2 linked regions of the Kluyveromyces lactis genome follow. The protein of the gene in region 1 purifies or fractionates together with the protein of each later gene. This does not show direct contact. Links are inferred from orthologs where the notes say so. Each region holds a gene or a part of one and is shown in the gene's direction. Other genes may lie near its edges.

Evidence for each region. The genes of interacting proteins can lie anywhere in the genome.
Region 2: the proteins of NOP14 (region 1) and BMS1 purify together in Saccharomyces cerevisiae (affinity purification with mass spectrometry; 4 studies listed by BioGRID). This does not show direct contact. The link is inferred for Kluyveromyces lactis from reciprocal best matches to the Saccharomyces cerevisiae genes NOP14 and BMS1.

Annotation. Positions count from the first base shown.
Region 1 is NC_006039.1:1,426,216-1,432,077, forward strand, and holds NOP14 (snoRNA-binding rRNA-processing protein NOP14), read left to right. Parts: upstream 1-1,535; coding exon 1,536-4,049; downstream 4,050-5,862. Other genes in the region: proteasome regulatory particle lid subunit RPN5, read right to left, coding at 1-979; autophagy protein ATG9, read right to left, coding at 4,091-5,862. UniProt on the Saccharomyces cerevisiae protein: Involved in nucleolar processing of pre-18S ribosomal RNA. Has a role in the nuclear export of 40S pre-ribosomal subunit to the cytoplasm.
Region 2 is NC_006038.1:179,531-184,286, reverse strand, and holds the start of BMS1 (GTPase BMS1), read left to right. Parts: upstream 1-1,290; coding exon 1,291-4,756. Other genes in the region: KLLA0_B02090g (uncharacterized protein), read right to left, coding at 1-569. UniProt on the Saccharomyces cerevisiae protein: GTPase required for synthesis of 40S ribosomal subunits and for processing the 35S pre-rRNA at sites A0, A1, and A2.

The DNA of each region.
Region 1 (5,862 bases):
ATGCAACGCCGTCCTGGTTCAAAATTTCTTTGTAGGTATCTTGTACTATTGGCCATCTCATTAGTTCTGCTGTGGTGAAGAGTTTTACCAAGGATTCTTGGGATGGCAATTTCTTTAGATTGTTGTCCAACTGAACCTTGTGAATGAGATCATTTTGTAGGTTATCATATGGCGATAGAATCAAGAAGTATACAACCCTGGATAGAGCTGCCTTCCATTGAATTTCATCTGCCTTCACAGAATCAGAGTTGTAGATTTCTTGGTAGTACTGAGCCACTTCTAAGTAATCTTTCTTATGCAAGCCAATCTTTACCAAAAGGTTATAATACTCTAATTTCAATGCTGCATACTTTTCATTCTTGAAAGTCTTCTTTAATATTTTTCTGGACAACACAGTGGCTTGAGAGTAATCACCTTTTAGGATACTTAATTCCATTTGTTCAAGGATAAATTCAATCTTTTCATACATCTCCATGGACCCATACGTTTCCACTTGCAATTCACATAACAAGTCAGTGGCCTCATCGATCTTGTTCTCAGATCTTCTGATATGAACCAAATCTCTAGTGACTCTAGCTCTTTCAACTTCCACGAAAATCTTGTTCTCAGTCACGGTTCTTATCGTCTCAATAGTTTTAATCTTGGTGTCCAAATCCTTCAGGTCTTCCAAATATTTCATCACAGACTGAATCATATACTGCACAGATAACTTCAATTGACCATGCTTTTTTGATAGAAGCATGATTTGGTCGTTAAGTAGGTCCCATTGGTCTGCTGCGACCAAAACATCTACGATCTTAGTCAAGACTCTTTTCGAAGATGCTAAATCAGAAGATTGTCTAGTCTTCTTTTCCAACACTAACAATTGATCCAAAGCACTGGAATAATCATTCTTGGCCAAAATCTCAAGCTTAGGAAATTCAGCGTCCAAGATTTCGGTATAATCTTTCTCTGCCTTAATTGGAGCGTCTCTGGACATATTTTACGATATAATTTATACTCTTTTCTCTTTGCTCTGCCTGCTCAACTTAAACCGAAATGCAATACAATCAATTTCTCTGTATCCGTCCTGTATTCAAACCACACAAACTTACAGTCTCAGAACCGACACTGTAACCTGCTGTACCTCTGTTCGCGGTTATTTCGTATATATTTGCCACCTGTAACTGATTTCCTTTATTTCTCATAATGCCTTTAAAATGACAAGCTACGGTAAAAGCTTCCTCAGTAACAGTAACAATCGAATCTTAGAAAAACGTGACTTCATCATCGTTCGTAATGATTGTGCTGGATATTCGGGTAACCTTGATTTGATTTTATTGTGCGGGTAACTATTTTCTTTCTTTTCGGTGAAAAAGCATTAAAAGTTTGACAGAAGATGAATTGAGCGATGAGATGAGATGAGATGGGATTAAATCAAAGGCTGTCAGAAGGTTCAGTATCTTGGCCGATTGTATTGAATTGACTTGCATCATCAGTTGTGTTTAGACCATTCTTCTTGTCTGTGGGCAAATAGGTTACAAAGTCGAATAATAATGGGTGGTTCACAGTTGAAGAACTTGAAGGCCGCTTTAAAGGCTAATGGGTTGACTGGTCAGACCAATGTCAAGAAGAGTTCTAAGAAGAAGGGCAAATCTCCCAGGGAGTTTGATAGAGAAGAAAGACAGAAGACTATTGAAAGAATTAGGGAACAGTTTAATCCGTTTGATGTGAAAACAAATCGTAATAAAAAGGTTGGTGTGATGAGGGAATCTGCAGCTAAACTTGCAGTAGGTAAGCCGGGAATCACTAAACAAGCCGGTGAAGATCAACGTAAAATGTTCTACGAAGCCAAGAAGTCCAGCAAGAACAGAAGCGGTGGTGTCTTAGATAAACGTTTTGGTGAAAAGGATAAGAATTTGACTTCCGAGGAGATCATGTTGGAACGTTTCACAAAGGAAAGACAACGTCAATCTTCGACGAAAAGATCGTTATTCAATTTAGACGATAGCGATGGTGGTGAGGATGAAAACGTGTACGGTGAAAAGTTGACTCATTATGGTAAGTCTCTTTCCTTGGAAGATGATTTCGATGAAGGTGATTTGGGGTTACAGCATTCTGATTCGGAGGACTTCAGGTTGAAACAAGCTGGTAAAAGAAATATGGCGGATCAATACGGAGATGAAGGGTTAGGTGATGACGCTTTGCAAGAGCCAGCAAGAAAGAAGACTAAGGCAGAAGTCATGCAAGAGGTCATTGCTAAATCCAAATTTTACAAACATGAAAGACAAAAGGCGCAGGAGAAATTGGTCCAAGATATCGAAGGCCTTGATGACGATTTCGAAAGCATTATGTCTGAATTAAGGACGTTACCAAAGACTAAACCTTCTCAAACTGAGATTTCGACCTCCACAGACATCGCTCCAGATTATGATATCAAGGTGAAAGAGTTAGTCTTGGAGAAAAGAGCTGCCCCTGCAGATAGAACTAAAACAGATGAAGAGATTAAGAAAGAATATGAGGACAAACAAAAGGAATTGGAGCAGAAAAGGCTTGATCGTATGAACGGTATTTTCAACATTGAAGATCAAAAAGATGCTGGTGTTGAAGATTTGGGAGAAGAGTTTTGGGAAGATAGCGACTCTGAGGAGGGCGAATATGGTGAATATATCAAAGCAATTCCTGACTCGGATGACGACGTTGATTTCGAGAAGGATAACAATGATGACAATGAATACGACGCTACATCAAATGGTAGACCTTCAGCAAGAGTTATACCTTCTGTTCCATGTCCTCAAATTCACGATGACTTACTAAATTTCTTGAAATCTTATCCTATCGAAGAGCATCCATCTTTAGTTAAAAGAATAGTAAAAACATACCAACCAAAATTGGCTGAGGGAAACAAAGAAAAATTGGGCAAATTCACTGCTGTTTTGCTCAGACATATACTTTTCTTGGCTGAAGAAGATTACTCGGTTAATGTGAAAGAAATTGCATCATTACAAAACGAACTAGTAAGCATTCTAAAGACTCTTTCAGAAAAGTTTACCATTCCACTATCAGAGGATTGTAGAAATATCATCTCAGATATTCAGACTAGATTCAAAGAATCCCAGTTCTATGGACTATCTCCATCAGATTTGGTATTTTTCTCTGTTGTTGGTATGTTGTTCTCCACTTCGGATCACTATCATTTAGTCATTACTCCCTGTCTGCTTCTAATTGCAGAGTTTTTGGAACAAATTAGGTTCAATTCTCTTCAAAAATTAATATTTGGTTCGATACTGGTTAGAATCGCCATCCAGTATCAACGTATAAGCAAGCGTTATATTCCTGAGTTAACATACTTCTTGCAGACATCTTTGCGTTCTCTAATACCGAGTACCAAAGGGGAAACATTAGAAAACAAAGAAAAACAGGAGGACAATTTATCAATAGTAGGCTCGGATATTAACTGGTCCAAGGTCGCCCCTTCTTTAGAATTACACTCATTATTTTCCGAGGATCTAGAAAAGCAAGAATCTATCAAACTGTCCGTGCTGGTCAACAATCTAGAATCAATTGATTGGTGCATAACGAACATCTGGAAAGATCTTACTGCCTTCCCAGAAATCATTAATCCCTTCAAAGACATACTAAACGTGGCTGCCGAAGTATATCCTGGTACTTCTAAACCAAAACAATTAGTGGAAAAGATCGAAAAGCTATTGAAATTCCAAGAACGTCTGCCATTGACGTTGCAACAGCATAAACCACTGGCGATTCCATCAAATACGCCTAAATTCGAAGAGAACTTCAACCCAGATAAGAAGTCGTATGATCCAGATAAGACCAGAAGTGAGTTGAACAAGATGAAGGCGCAATTGAAGAAGGAACGTAAGTTCACTATGAAAGAAATACGTAAAGACACTAGATTCGAGGCAAGACAAGGCATTGAAGAAAAGAAGAAGGAGTACGCCGATTACCATTCCAAGATGGCACGTATTGTCAATCAAATCAGTACTGAAGAAGGTGCTGAGAAAAACAAATATGAGCGTGAAAAGAAGCTCCGTAATACCAAACGTTAACTGCATATTATATAATCTATACTCAACATTAATAAACTTTATCATCGATTGCGATCTGATTTTTTGTAATATTGGTTTAATAGGCCCATAACACCATTTCCCGCCTTCAGTTCGTCAGCATTATCAGCAATATCATCCTTAAAAAGGGTAGATTTGTTGATAAGTGAACCACTCAATGAGCCTAATTCAAGGTCCGAACTACGATCCGGGAATCTCTTCACCCTTGATCGATTAAGATTTCTCTTACGATTGGAGTTTTTACCTAAGGCAAATTGTGTCTTCCAGGAATAGTCTTTAGTAGAGCTGTATGGGTGATAAGATGGCTCGATTGGAGAAGCTGGTAGCTGATTTTTGCCCACTGCATTGCCTGCATTCTTGTAATCGTCAACGAAGTACATATATGACTGAAGCATTTTGTTAACACCCTCATCCGATTCGGTTTCACTATCATCCTGTTCTGCTTGGGAAAACATTCTCTTAGTTTGTTTTTTGGCCTTGGTACCTTTGTCAATTTTAGTAGCTTCAAACATTGCGTACTTACACACGTATCCCAACCCCTCCTCATAGACGGTACATTCTCTAAAAAAATCTATTATTCTTTCTGAATTCTTTGGCAGGGAGAACCATAATATGAAGGGAGTGATTATAATGCTGACTAGTTCCCTTAGTAATAATGTGATTCTCAAGTTGTAAAGCCTACAAAACTCATTTTTGATGTCCTCTGTATGATATTTCCCCTTCCATTCCTTTGGAGCGTAGTGTGTATACGACACAAGTTCCTCCAGTGTTTCCTCTGGTTTGAGAACCGTATACTCATCGTTGATAGAACTGTGACAAACTGCCCATAAAGTACCAAAAACAGTCATGTAAAATAAAACAGTTCTGTCAGGTGTAATTTCGAAGTTTAAGAAATTGTCTGGATCAAATATTGTCAGAATACCCAAGATTGCCACAAAAGAACCGGAAACAAACTGTATAAAGCTTAAGGTCAAGCTTAATAATGTATTGGGAAATTGATTGACATAATTGTCCGCTATTATCATGCTCAATCTCATTCTTTTTTGGAAAATATGATATAATTCATTGTATTCCCTAAATTTCCATTCAGCAATAGGAGTATATTGCCGAGAACCTATTGATCCTGGGGAGGTTTTGTACTCATTAAAATATCTGAAGAAGTTCAATAGAACAAAGTATGTTACTAAGAATGGGGATAAGATAATGTTCAAGAATCCAGCAAGAACAAACCTCTTCTTTAACTCCTCTCCCAGGTATTCTCTCTGGCTTTCTCTTAAGAAAGCTTGCTTTAAATAGCCCTTCTCATTGAATGCAAAACCTAAAATACAAAGATTTATGTTCCATTCGAGCGTCTTGGTAAGAGCACATGTTCTTAGTAGAGGTACTGGTAGGGATAAGTCAAGAATATTGTTATCATATAGTGCAATGACAAAATTCTCTTTGCGCATAATTCGATTAGCCACGTCATGCGCACTCAACCTGTTTTTTGCTTTGACTTCGGTAGCATTTGCTGTGATCGCATTCTGATCCTTAAGTAATACTAGTTGTTGAATCACACTTTGCCATGGAATAGTTTGTAAATCTTTATCTGATATGCTTAAAAGGTAGTTGTAAAAGTTTCGGATGTCCTTCAATGCTTTCACATCAAAATACAATTGTAGAACTTTAAGCCCTATGAAGGCGTAAAATATCCATAGAAATACCTTTGCAGTTGGAGAGATCTGTGTCTTATAACATTGTTCAATATGAATTTCTTCAAAAGTATGAGACGATGACAACCTTGAATAATCTATGC
Region 2 (4,756 bases), on another chromosome or scaffold:
GTACTACCTTGTGCTTCCTGTAACATATATTTTGCATGGGCAGGAACCAATTCTTGCCTTGTATCTCTATCTATAACTGCATTAAACTGAGCCTTTTCTTTGATAATGTAAATTTTTTGATGCTGTGATCCATGTGAGTGCTGATGATGTTTTTCAGCATCGTCATGTGAGGAATCTTGCTTACTTTTCCGTAGGTATACCGTTTCTCCAGGGAAATAGTCGTTTTTAAATCTTGCATATACCTGTTCGACGAGCATATCTAGCCTTCTAATCTCGTTGAAATGGATGAATTTTGCAACAGGTTCACGTAATTTTAAAGGGAACATTTTCTCAACGTATTGGAACTGCTCTTCTTCACTGTTCAACGCTTCAAAAAAAGTTAAACATGATGTACCAGTGATCTCACAGGTGAAATAATGTCGCCTATAAAAATCCAATCGTTGCAAAAACTCTGCATAAGTCAAAAACCATTCCCCTGTCTCTTGAATGTACCATATTTTCCTATTGATATTTGACGGTAATGGCCTAGCATCTGGCAACGTTATCGTTTTCCTTTTATACAAAACCATTGCTCACACTGTGTATTCTATCCAAAAAATAAAAAGCTCAACAAGGAAACACACACCACTGAAGACTCTGTTATCCTAGCTTTCCTGCTTCAACTCAGTAAAAATTACACGCACACAGATTGGAAAGAATAAGAACAGTATGTGTTTTCTATGACCAAAAGATGTTGTCTCGTATCCACAACAATATAACTGGTGTAGAACGTACAGTTCTTGTTGTGAAATCCAAATCACCACACAAACGAACTAAAGATAAAAAACACAACAACTTTTAGGGAAACGAATGAAACAAACGACTTTTATTCGGAATCCAACCGTTGATTCATTGACCTTTGTTCTATCCTGTTCTGTTTGTGCATTTGATTGGATTTCGATTTCATTTTGATGTTCGAATTTCGATGAACGCTTTTTTTTCCATATGCCCTTGGGCCCTAGTTACTACGGCAGAGACATGTAGGAATATCTACAAAACTGACAGAATACCTTAAATTCTTAAAAATCAGATCACGTGCAGAATCACGTGATTAGATATCGACAAGGTTCAGATCATTTCTTTTTCTTACCCTGCATGAAAAATTGCATGAAGAAGCTCAACCATCTCATCTCATCTCATCGGTGAACATAAAAGATTCTAGTATCTTGAATTGAATCAAAAGGGTCACTTTAGGCCAGTTAGTTCGAATCACATTGCCTGAATACATCTTAAGACTCTCAAGCTTCAGCAATGGAACAATCGAATAAAGAACATAGGAAGCGGAAGGAGAAGGCTGGTGCCAAGAAGAAGTTACATTCTCAGGGCCACAATGCTAAGGCCTTTGCTGTCTCCGCTCCGGGGAAAATGGCTAAGCAGATGCAACGTACGGGTGATAAGAATGAGAAGAAGTTGCATGTTCCGATGGTGGATCGTACCCCAGATGATGATCCTCCTCCGATCATTATTGCTGTTGTTGGTCCTCCAGGTACCGGTAAGACTACTTTGATCAAATCGTTAGTGAGAAGGTTGACAAAGACCACTTTATCCGAAATTAACGGTCCTATTACTGTTGTTTCTGGTAAGCGTAGAAGGCTGACTTTTATCGAATGTCCTGCGGATGATTTGAATTCCATGATCGATATTTCAAAAGTGGCCGATTTGGTGCTTTTGATGATGGATGGTAATTTCGGGTTTGAAATGGAGACCATGGAATTCTTGAATTTGGCTCAACATCATGGTATGCCTCGTGTACTAGGTGTCGCTACACATTTGGATCTTTTCAAATCCCAGTCAACATTGCGTGCCTCTAAGAAATCTTTGAAACATAGGTTCTGGACCGAAGTGTATCAGGGTGCCAAGCTTTTCTACCTTTCTGGTGTTATTAACGGTCGTTATCCAGATAGAGAGATTTTGAACTTGTCAAGGTTTATAAGTGTTATGAAGTTCAGACCTTTGCAATGGAGAAACGAACATCCTTATTTATTGGCCGATAGAATATCCGATTTAACTCATCCAGAACTCTTACAATCGAAGGGTATGCATATAGATCGTAAAGTCGCCATCTATGGTTATTTACACGGTACTCCGTTACCTTCGACTCCAGGCTACAGGGTCCATATCGCCGGTGTAGGTGACTACCAGATCGATCACGTTGAGAAATTGCCTGATCCTTGTCCGACACCTTATTACCAACAGAAATTAGATGAATTTGAACGTGAACGTGCTAAGGAAGAAGGTTCCACATCAGCAACGACTGTAAGAAGACGTAAAAGATTGGATGATAAACAAAAGCTGATCTATGCTCCAATGTCTGACGTTGGTGGTTTACTTATGGATAAGGATGCCGTGTTCATTGATGTTGGCGGTAAGACAGGTCCAAACTCAATGACTGCAGAGGAAAAAGATGAAAGTGACAAGATCGTGTCCAACCTACAGGCTACATCTCGTTCCATTGATGAAAAATTCGAGAATGTTGGATTGCAGCTTTTCTCAAATAGTACTGAGTTACATGCTATTGAAGATCAGGATGAAGAAGTTGAAGAAGACACCGAAGACGAGGATGATGTTGATAGAGGAAACGTTGGTAGATCTTCCTTAAGAAAGGCAAGAGTATACGGCAAATCCCTTCAGGAATCTAACGCAGATCTCGATAATTTATCAAGTGACAACGAAAACTATAATGAAGATGATGACGAAGATGAAGCACATCGCACTAAATTAGTTGAAATTGATTTTGATGACGAAAAACCTGAAAACATGGCCTTTGAGACAGATTCAGAATTGGATGCATCTGATTCTGAAGGTTGGGAAAGAACCACAGCTGGTAAATTGAATGGTACAAAGAATAAAAGAAGAAAGTGGGATATCAGCAAACTTATCTACATGGACAACATTGCTCCAGCTGATGCAATCAAAAGATGGAACGGCGAGGCCGACGAAACTGAAGTTGAAGAAGATCTAGAAGACGATGAAGATACTGAATTCTTCACCCAAAAGACAAATACTACACCGAATAAGGCAGTAACTTACCACGATGATCTTGAAAGATTTATTCCTTATTTTGATACATTCAATGACCTTGTTGAAAGATGGTCAACTGCCGATTCAATCAAAGACAGATTTGTTGGAAAGCCATCCTTAAACACCAAGTCTTCTGATGATGTAAAGGATGAAGACGATGATGAAGATGAAGTATACGGTGATTTTGAGGACTTAGAAGCTGAGCCTGAAAACACAGATGAGAAGGAGGAGAATTCTGCTGCAGGAGATGAAGAATCTGATAGCAACGAATCGTTCGCTGATTTCGAAGAAGAAGAAAAGAAGGATTTGACCCAGGATGAAGAGCGTGAATTGAATGCCGCAAAAAAAGAGAAATTAAGGTTACAATTCGAAATGGAAGAAGGAGACAACTTTGGAGAAGACCCTGAAAATGAATACGATACCTGGTACGAATTACAGAAGGCTAAGATTGCTAAACAATTAGAAATCAATAAAGCCGAACTGGAATCTATGACTCCTGAACAAAGGCAACAAATCGAAGGTATGAAAGCTGGGTCTTATGTTCGTATTGTCTTCGATAAGGTTCCTATGGAATTCATCGAAAATTTCAACCCAAAGTATCCAGTAATTATGGGAGGTCTTCTTCCCACAGAATTGAAGTTCGGAATTATTAATGCAAGAGTCAGAAGACATCGTTGGCACAAAAAGATTCTCAAGACAAATGATCCTTTAGTTTTATCTCTTGGTTGGAGACGTTTCCAAACTCTACCAATATACACCACTAGTGACTCTAGAACCAGGACTAGAATGTTGAAGTATACTCCAGAACATGCTTATTGTACAGCTTCTTTCTATGGTCCCTTGTGCTCGCCAAATACCACTTTCTGTGGTGTTCAAATAGTTGCTAACAGTGATACAACTGGAAGTTTCAGAATAGCTGCGACTGGTATTGTAGAGGAGATCGATGCAAGCGTAGAAATTGTGAAGAAATTAAAGCTTGTTGGTTATCCTTACAAAATCTTCAAGAACACTGCCTTCATAAAGGATATGTTCTCTAGCGCTATGGAAGTTGCACGGTTCGAAGGTGCCCAAATCAAGACTGTTTCCGGTATTCGTGGTGAAATCAAGCGTGCTCTATCAAAACCAGAAGGCCATTTCAGGGCAACTTTTGAGGATAAGATACTATTGAGTGACATTATAATTCTTAGGTCATGGTATCCAATCCAAGTTAAGAAATTCTACAACCCAGTTACTTCATTGTTGCTAAAAGATAAAACTGAATGGAAGGGTTTGAGACTAACTGGTCAAATTAGAGCATCTCTTGGAATCGATTTACCGACCAACAATGACAGTACATATAAGAAGGTTGAAAGAGTTGAAAGGAACTTCAACGGTTTAAAGGTACCAAAATCTGTTGCCAAAGACTTACCTTTCAAATCCCAGATCTATCAAATGAAACCGCAAAAGAAGAAAACATACATGGCTAAGAGAGCTGTCGTTCTAGGCGGCGAAGAGAAAAAGGCACGTTCCTTCATGCAAAAGGTTCTCACCATTTCGAATGCGAAGGATGAAAAGAAGAGATCCAAGAAAGCTGAAGAAAGGAAGGAAAGACTCAAGAAGCTTGCTAAGTTGGAGGAATCGAAGAAAGAAAAGGAGAAGCAACGTAAGAAGGACTTCTTCTCCAAAAACGGTAAAAAAAGACAATTCAACGACAATG